2 linked regions of the Saccharomyces cerevisiae S288C genome follow. The protein of the gene in region 2 binds, or shares a complex with, the protein of the main gene of each other region. Links are inferred from orthologs where the notes say so. Each region holds a gene or a part of one and is shown on either strand. Other genes may lie near its edges.

What was found. The genes of interacting proteins can lie anywhere in the genome.
Region 1: the proteins of LAT1 (region 2) and PDX1 are in contact, whole or in part, in a cryo-EM structure (PDB 8OHS), measured with the Neurospora crassa proteins. The link is inferred for Saccharomyces cerevisiae S288C from one-to-one orthologs. Residues at the interface, in XP_962786.1 of Neurospora crassa: Lys263, Lys266, Leu267, Gln269, Ala270, Pro453, Leu454; in XP_956161.2 of Neurospora crassa: Leu323, Gln326, Val327, Leu328, Lys332.

The regions. Positions count from the first base shown.
Region 1 is NC_001139.9:882,628-887,741, forward strand, and holds PDX1 (Pdx1p), read right to left. Parts: upstream 3,115-5,114; coding exon 1,882-3,114; downstream 1-1,881. Other genes in the region: glyceraldehyde-3-phosphate dehydrogenase (phosphorylating) TDH3, read right to left, coding at 185-1,183; XKS1 (xylulokinase), read right to left, coding at 3,446-5,114. UniProt on the Saccharomyces cerevisiae protein: Required for anchoring dihydrolipoamide dehydrogenase (E3) to the dihydrolipoamide transacetylase (E2) core of the pyruvate dehydrogenase complexes of eukaryotes. This specific binding is essential for a functional PDH complex.
Region 2 is NC_001146.8:489,944-493,471, reverse strand, and holds LAT1 (dihydrolipoyllysine-residue acetyltransferase), read right to left. Parts: upstream 1,950-3,528; coding exon 501-1,949; downstream 1-500. Other genes in the region: TOM7 (Tom7p), read right to left, coding at 1-106; ribonuclease H2 catalytic subunit RNH201, read right to left, coding at 2,232-3,155; lysine--tRNA ligase MSK1, read right to left, coding at 3,356-3,528. UniProt on the Saccharomyces cerevisiae protein: The pyruvate dehydrogenase complex catalyzes the overall conversion of pyruvate to acetyl-CoA and CO(2).

The DNA.
Region 1 (5,114 bases), on a different chromosome or scaffold from region 2:
GTATCTACTACAGATATTACATGTGGCGAAAAAGACAAGAACAATGCAATAGCGCATCAAGAAAAAACACAAAGCTTTCAATCAATGAATCGAAAATGTCATTAAAATAGTATATAAATTGAAACTAAGTCATAAAGCTATAAAAAGAAAATTTATTTAAATGCAAGATTTAAAGTAAATTCACTTAAGCCTTGGCAACGTGTTCAACCAAGTCGACAACTCTGGTAGAGTAACCGTATTCGTTGTCGTACCAGGAGACCAACTTGACGAACTTTGGAGACAATTGGATACCAGCGGAAGCATCGAAGATGGAAGAGTGAGAGTCACCCAAGAAGTCAGAGGAGACAACAGCGTCTTCGGTGTAACCCAAAACACCCTTCAACTTACCTTCAGCGGCAGCCTTAACAACCTTCTTGATTTCATCGTAGGTGGTTTCCTTGTTCAACTTGACAGTCAAGTCAACAACGGAGACATCGACGGTTGGGACTCTGAAAGCCATACCGGTCAACTTACCTTGCAATTCTGGCAAGACCTTACCGACAGCCTTAGCAGCACCGGTGGAGGATGGGATGATGTTACCGGAAGCGGTTCTACCACCTCTCCAGTCCTTGTGGGATGGACCGTCAACAGTCTTTTGAGTAGCAGTCAAAGAGTGGACAGTGGTCATCAAACCTTCTTCAATACCGAAAGCATCGTTGATAACCTTGGCCAATGGAGCCAAACAGTTGGTGGTACAAGAAGCGTTGGAAACAATCTTCAAGTCAGAAGTGTATTTTTCTTCGTTAACACCCATGACGAACATTGGGGCGGTGGAAGATGGAGCAGTGATAACAACCTTCTTGGCACCAGCGTCAATGTGCTTTTGAGCAGTGTCTAATTCCTTGAAAACACCAGTGGAGTCAATGGCGATGTCAACGTTGGAAGAACCCCATGGCAAGTTAGCTGGGTCTCTTTCTTGGTAAGTAGCAATCTTCTTACCATCGACAATGATGTGCTTGTCATCGTGGGAAACTTCACCAGCGTATCTACCGTGAGTGGAGTCGTACTTGAACATGTAAGCAGCGTAGTCGTTGGTGATGAATGGGTCGTTCAAAGCAACAACTTCGACGTTTGGTCTAGACAAAGCAATTCTCATGACCAATCTACCGATTCTACCGAAACCGTTAATAGCAACTCTAACCATTTTGTTTGTTTATGTGTGTTTATTCGAAACTAAGTTCTTGGTGTTTTAAAACTAAAAAAAAGACTAACTATAAAAGTAGAATTTAAGAAGTTTAAGAAATAGATTTACAGAATTACAATCAATACCTACCGTCTTTATATACTTATTAGTCAAGTAGGGGAATAATTTCAGGGAACTGGTTTCAACCTTTTTTTTCAGCTTTTTCCAAATCAGAGAGAGCAGAAGGTAATAGAAGGTGTAAGAAAATGAGATAGATACATGCGTGGGTCAATTGCCTTGTGTCATCATTTACTCCAGGCAGGTTGCATCACTCCATTGAGGTTGTGCCCGTTTTTTGCCTGTTTGTGCCCCTGTTCTCTGTAGTTGCGCTAAGAGAATGGACCTATGAACTGATGGTTGGTGAAGAAAACAATATTTTGGTGCTGGGATTCTTTTTTTTTCTGGATGCCAGCTTAAAAAGCGGGCTCCATTATATTTAGTGGATGCCAGGAATAAACTGTTCACCCAGACACCTACGATGTTATATATTCTGTGTAACCCGCCCCCTATTTTGGGCATGTACGGGTTACAGCAGAATTAAAAGGCTAATTTTTTGACTAAATAAAGTTAGGAAAATCACTACTATTAATTATTTACGTATTCTTTGAAATGGCAGTATTGATAATGATAAACTCGAACTGAAAAAGCGTGTTTTTTATTCAAAATGATTCTAACTCCCTTACGTAATCAAGGAATCTTTTTGCCTTGGCCTCCGCGTCATTAAACTTCTTGTTGTTGACGCTAACATTCAACGCTAGTATATATTCGTTTTTTTCAGGTAAGTTCTTTTCAACGGGTCTTACTGATGAGGCAGTCGCGTCTGAACCTGTTAAGAGGTCAAATATGTCTTCTTGACCGTACGTGTCTTGCATGTTATTAGCTTTGGGAATTTGCATCAAGTCATAGGAAAATTTAAATCTTGGCTCTCTTGGGCTCAAGGTGACAAGGTCCTCGAAAATAGGGTCAAAGTATTTCGAATTTGTGTCCATTAGTGGTGTTCCGTGTGAGAACTGGTAAGCTTCTTTCATGAAAGAGTTCAATGATTCACTCAGTTTGTCAAACGGAATAGAGGCGGGAGCATGGAACACTAATTGCTCTTCAAATTCTACAGGAGTAATCTTTGGCTTGTCGGCAGCTTTTGTTTGAGCTTGCTCGGCTATTTTTGGTTTGAGCTGTATAGGTTTAATGTTCGATAAATCGAGACGTTCGTTCTTCTTGATAAATTCTGTTACCTTGTTAACCGAATCTTGTGGTATTTTCCCTAGGTATGCTAGCACATCACCCTTTAATAGTCTACCGTTGGAACCAGATGGCGCAATTTCCTTCAAAGCCTTTTGTTTGGATATATTGTTCTCAGCCAGTAGTAATGACACGGATGGTAATAGCGTCTGTTCAAGATTGGCTTGGCTGCCGTCAACGGTTTTTATTGGTGTAACTGTGGCTTTTTTTAAATGTTGTTGTGTTGCTTCAGTACTATCTGCGGATGGCTTCTTAATTTCAATAGATTTCGCATTTGCGGTGTTGGCCTCTTGGGGTAACTTTATAGTAGCTAAATCATCATCAACATCAGCAATATAAGCAATAGGTTCACCAACATCAACATCTTTAGAGCCTTCATCTTTCAGGATCTTAGCTAGTTTACCATCGTCCAGTGCTTCCACATCAATTTGAGATTTATCTGTTTCCACTTCTAATATCACATCGCCCGCGCTGAATGGTTCGCCAACTTTATATTTCCAAGACACAATCCCCCCTTTCTCCATAGTAGGAGACATTGCAGGCATTGAAAATGTCTTTACAGCAAGTAATTTAGCTGATGCATGATAGTTGCATTTGGTTAAATATCTTGTACATGATTTTAAAGTGGAGACTTTGGAAATTGCACTTAGCATTTTTGAATTTTTCCCTCGAGATGATTTAACAATAACCTAGCTCTTTCAATGCTCTCTTATATTCTCACTGGAAAGCGCTAATTTGATTTGTCTCTCTCGTTGCTGGTCGCTCACCCTTTCATAAATTGTTTTTTACTCTTCATTTATTGATTTTACTTTTTGTCATTTTCCGAACGGGGAACAAAATGATGACTACTTGCTACAGTATACGAAACATACAAGGGCATTGTCATGTGCACGCATAATAACGGTGATATATATATATGTATGTATATTATGTGTCTGTGTTTGTGTGTACTTGTCAGGGCATGATAAATTATTCAAACATATTTTAGATGAGAGTCTTTTCCAGTTCGCTTAAGGGGACAATCTTGGAATTATAGCGATCCCAATTTTCATTATCCACATCGGATATGCTTTCCATTACATGCCATGGAAAATTGTCATTCAGAAATTTATCAAAAGGAACTGCAATTTTATTAGAGTCATATAACAATGACCACATGGCCTTATAACAACCACCAAGGGCACATGAGTTTGGTGTTTCTAGCCTAAAATTACCCTTTGTAGCACCAATGACTTGAGCAAACTTCTTCACAATAGCATCGTTTTTAGAAGCCCCACCTACAAAAAAAGTCCTTTCTGGCCTTTTATTTAGGTAGTCCCGCAGCGGAGATTCATCGTAATCAAACTTCACGATTGTATCTTCGTTCAGTCTCTGTTGTGAGCTTGCGTTTGAATCCGAAAGCAGGGGAGATATTCTTACCCTGCAACTTAAAGCCTGTGATTCTACAATATTTTTGGCATCGTGCCTCTTGTCTTTGAACTTGGCCACCTCTCTTTCAATCATACCCGTTTTTGGATTGAAGATAACCCTTTTGTTTATGGCTTTTACGCTAGGAACGATCTCCCCCAGAGGAAAATATACACCTAATTCATTTTCACTACTTTCTGAGTCATCTAGCACAGCTTGATTAAAAAGAGTCCAATCGTTAGTCTTCTCATAATTATTTTCCCGTTCTTTGTTTAACTCGTCTCTTATCCTCTCCCTTGCCAAAGAACCATTACAATAACAAATCATACCCATATAATGGTTTGGCAGAGTTGGATGAATGAAAAGATGATAGTTCGGAGAGGGGTGATACTTATCGGTGACCAGAAGAACTGTAGTACTTGTTCCTAGGGAAACGAGAACGTCATTCTTCCGCAGGGGTAAAGAACATATAGTGGCTAAATTATCCCCAGTCATGGGAGAGACCTTGCAGTTTGTATTGAAACCGTACTTCTCAATAAAATATTTACAGATGGTACCCGCTATCAAATTTTTCATGGGTGCTCTCATTAATTTTTGTCTGATAGTTTTATCCTTAGAAGAACTATCAATTAGATGTAGTAGCTCATCACTGAATTTTCTTTCACGTATATCATAAAGGTTCATACCACAGGCATCTGCCTCCTCTAATTCAACAAGATGGCCCACTAAGATAGAAGTCAAAAAATTAGACACTAAAGAAATGGTCTTTGTTTTTTCGTAAGCTTCTGGTTCTAATTGTGCAATTTTCAGAATTTGAGGACCAGTAAATCTAAAATGGGCTCTGGACCCTGTTAATTGAGCCATTTTTTCAGGCCCACCTATGCACTCTTCAAACTCTTGACATTGCTTTGCAGTACTGTGGTCTTGCCAATTGGGGGCGGTTTGCCTTGCAAATGCTACAGAGCTCACGTAGTGCAATAAATCTTTTTCCGGTTTCTTATTCAATTGCTCTAACAGAGATTCGGCTTGGGAGGACCAGTAGACAGACCCGTGCTGCTGGCAGGACCCTGAGACGGCCATAACTTTGTTCAATGGAAATTTAGCCTCGCGATATTTCGAGAGAACCAGATCTAGAGCCTCTAACCACATGGCTACGGGACATTCGATAGTGTCGCCGTGTATATAGACACCCTTCTTTGTGTGATAATGCGGAAGATCCTTTTCAAATTCCACTGTTTCTGAATGG
Region 2 (3,528 bases):
CAAATGGGATCCAGCCATAATGTGCTACATTATGAGTCAAAGTTAAAATTTTGGAAATACGTTCTTTAGATTCATCGCTTAAGATAAAAGATGGTAGGAAACTCATGGTTTATTTGTTAAAAGCTAATTTTGGCAAATATTGAGAGATAAGAGGGAACTAGTTTCTTTCACCGAACAATAATATACGAAAGTAGTATGCTAAACTTTATGCGTTATATCCTATATCCCACTCCTTTGTTAATTTCAACCAATTCCACATGAGGTGAAAAAACAAAGATGTTGACGCACCGTTTGACGTGATTTATTTATATCATTTTGAGACAGAAGAGAGAGAGGATTTAGATTCGAAGACAAGCGAAGTATTTCAGTATAATGTATACGTATTTGAGTATTTGAGTATTTTTTTTTTTTTTTTTTTAATTTTTTATATATACAAAATAACAAATTGATATTTTCTCCAAGATACGCATTTACTGGCGAATTTTATTTTCATTCTAACCTCACAATAGCATTTCCAAAGGATTTTCAATAACAGTTTTCAATTCCTTCATGAATTCTGCACCTTTGGCGCCATCAATGGTTCTATGATCAAAGGTCCCTGTTATGGTAACCTGGTTATCAAAGGAGAATCCGTTCTCAGCAGCGGCGTCTTCCACAGCGACCCTTTCAACAGTAGCGATGGCCAAGATTGTAGACTGTGGTGGGTTGATAATCGAAGTAAACATGTTAACAGCATTATTCATGCCCATATTGGATATGCAAATGGTCCCACCTTGGAATTCCTCTGGTGCCAATTTGTTTATTCTGGCACGCTTGACTAGTTCCTTGATTTCGTTAGAGATTTGCGACAAGCCCTTGGCCTCACAATTCTTGACAATTGGTGTCAATAATCCTGTTGGTGTGGCAACAGCGACTGAGACATCGACATTCTTGAATTTACGGATAACGTTCTCATTAGGTAACCAGTAGGCATTGGCATCTGGCACCCTCTTAGCCGCAACAGTGATGGCTTTTACTAATAGGTCATTAATGGACAGTTTGTACTTGTCGTTTGCTGTAGCGTTCAAGGACTGTCTCAATTTCAAAAGTTTGGAGATGGATATCTTGGAGGAAACGATGTATGATGGAATGCCTTGAGTAGATTGCAATAAACGTTCTCCAATGATGCTTCTCATGGTTGAAATTGGAACATCCTCATATGATGCTGTAGAAGAAGGCGATGGAGCAGAGCCAGCAGTAGTGCTTGAGGTAGCGGCGGCAGGAGTGGCGGCGGCAGCACCACTGGTTTGAGAAGACTGCTTAGACGACTTTTCTAGATATGACTCAATGTCAGCCTTGGTAATTCTACCGCGGGGTCCAGTGCCGTGAACATCCTTCAAAGAAATACCCTTTTCCAAGGCGATAGTCTTGGCAAGTGGAGAGGCAAAAATCCTACCTTGAGGAGCAGCAACGTCAGATTTCTTAGCTTCAGGTGCAGAAGTCTTGGTCTCTTCAGCTGGCGCTTCTTGTTTCTTTTCTGCCTGTGGTTCGGCAGGCTGAGCCTTCGTACTGGTCTTTGAATCAGAACCTGAATCCTCCAGCTTAAAGTCCTTAAAAGCTGGCACATCAGCTTTGTCCTCCACATAGACGGCAATAGGCTTGTTGACAGGAATGTCCTTTGTACCTTCAGGAACTAGAATCTTGGCTAAGTAACCATCTTCTTGGAACTCAAAGTCCATTTGAGCCTTGTCTGTTTCTATTTCGGCAATAACTTCACCGGGAGACAATTGGTCACCTTCCTTCTTAGTCCAAGCAGCAAGATTACCTTGCGTCATCGTAGGAGACAGTGCCGGCATACCAATAATGGTGTGCTCTGGGTACGATGCGTAGCATCTCAATTGCAGTCTCAATGATCTGGTGAGTACTGAACTTCTGGATATTCTTGGAACCACCCTGACAAAGGCAGACATAGTACGCTAATAACTATTAATTTTACTGGATGCAGTTTACAGCAATGGAAGATGTTGAGCGTGAACAAACAGGAAACGTAACAGCCTCTCTTCTAGTCGTTCCGGTTGGTTGTCTCGACCTCTTGTTGTTCTTTGCGTAACACGGGGGGTGAGAAGGGCCGGTCACGCTTCACGGATAGTAGAAACGGCAAAGCATAGTAGCAGATGACTTGTATGAGTTATTGAAGTTATGACATATGTAGTATTACATGAAGATATATAGTATGTGCAAACTGGAGGTGATCACCGGTACCAATTATCTAGGGTTCTCAGCCTCTTCCTTCTAACAGGCTTAGCGACCATCTGGAGCTGCAATTGCTTGGTTTTTTGTGCGGCGTTCTTCCTGCTGTCCATATATTGTTCTTCCCACTTGATAGGGATACTATTCTTACTGGCGTCATCTAACAGAGTCTGGCATGTCTGCCATGAGAATCTTACCATGTTGGCGGGCCAGCCCATAAGACTTGTCTGGTTGCGCTTCAGCCATGCGACTGTCTTCGGGTCGGAGGGGTATCCAGAACCCAGGATCTCATCGGGATCCCTCTTCAAGGATTCGACTAGTATATCTCTGGTCACTTTTGCAACGACACTCGCCACACTGACCATGCAGTAGAGCGAGTCTGCCTTCTTGGCGACCGTAAACTTGACACCAGGAAATCGTTGCTCCAGTTTCTTCTGATAGGACGCTGGTGGTCCAACAGTATCCACATACACGTGACTGAGCTTCACGTTCTGCTTTATCACGCCATCAATGAGTGCCATTGTGACATCGTGCGCCTGCTCATTCAAGTTATAGTTTCTCGTCGGTGGGAACTTGCTCATTCCTCTAGAGATATCCAACGGAGTGATGCACGTAGTTGCGTAGCCGATCTGGGTTAGTTCTTCGTTGTCCTGGTATATCTTGGAAAACAGCATTCTTCTGATGGGATCTGTAAGTTTTTTAGAGTCGTCAAACTCGTAGTTAGGGATTATAGTTTCGTCCTGATATTTCTGTGTAGAATAGGCTACTGCGTAGACCATTGGCCCTAATACGGGCCCTCTGCCAGCTTCATCGATACCCATTATTATTGGAGAGTCATTCTGTTCCAAGAGCGCGCTTGGGACAGGTGAAAAGTACGACTTAGTGTAAGGAGACTCCAAGGATGCTTCTACCGTGGGGGGTACCATTTAATCGTATCAATTTGGTGTGCAGTAGTTGTTTTCAAGGTTTTTCGACACTCTCATTAGCTATAACTGAATATTTATATTGGATTTTTCGCGTAGCGTAGTTTATTGGTGTAGAGAAAAAAAAAAAATTAAATGCCATTCTAATTATTTACAGTATATGTCTGATTTATTTACAAAAGCATTGGCAGGCGTCGCAAAATTTACTGCCTGTTTACATCATCCACACAGCCAAAGGGCAGAACCTCTTCTATCCTCTTCTTGTCGCAAAATAGCATGCACAATCTATCTATGCCAAGGCCAAAGCCACCTACTGGAGGCATACCGTATTTCATCGTCTCAACATACTGGTAGTCAATAACAGGCGATAAGGTCT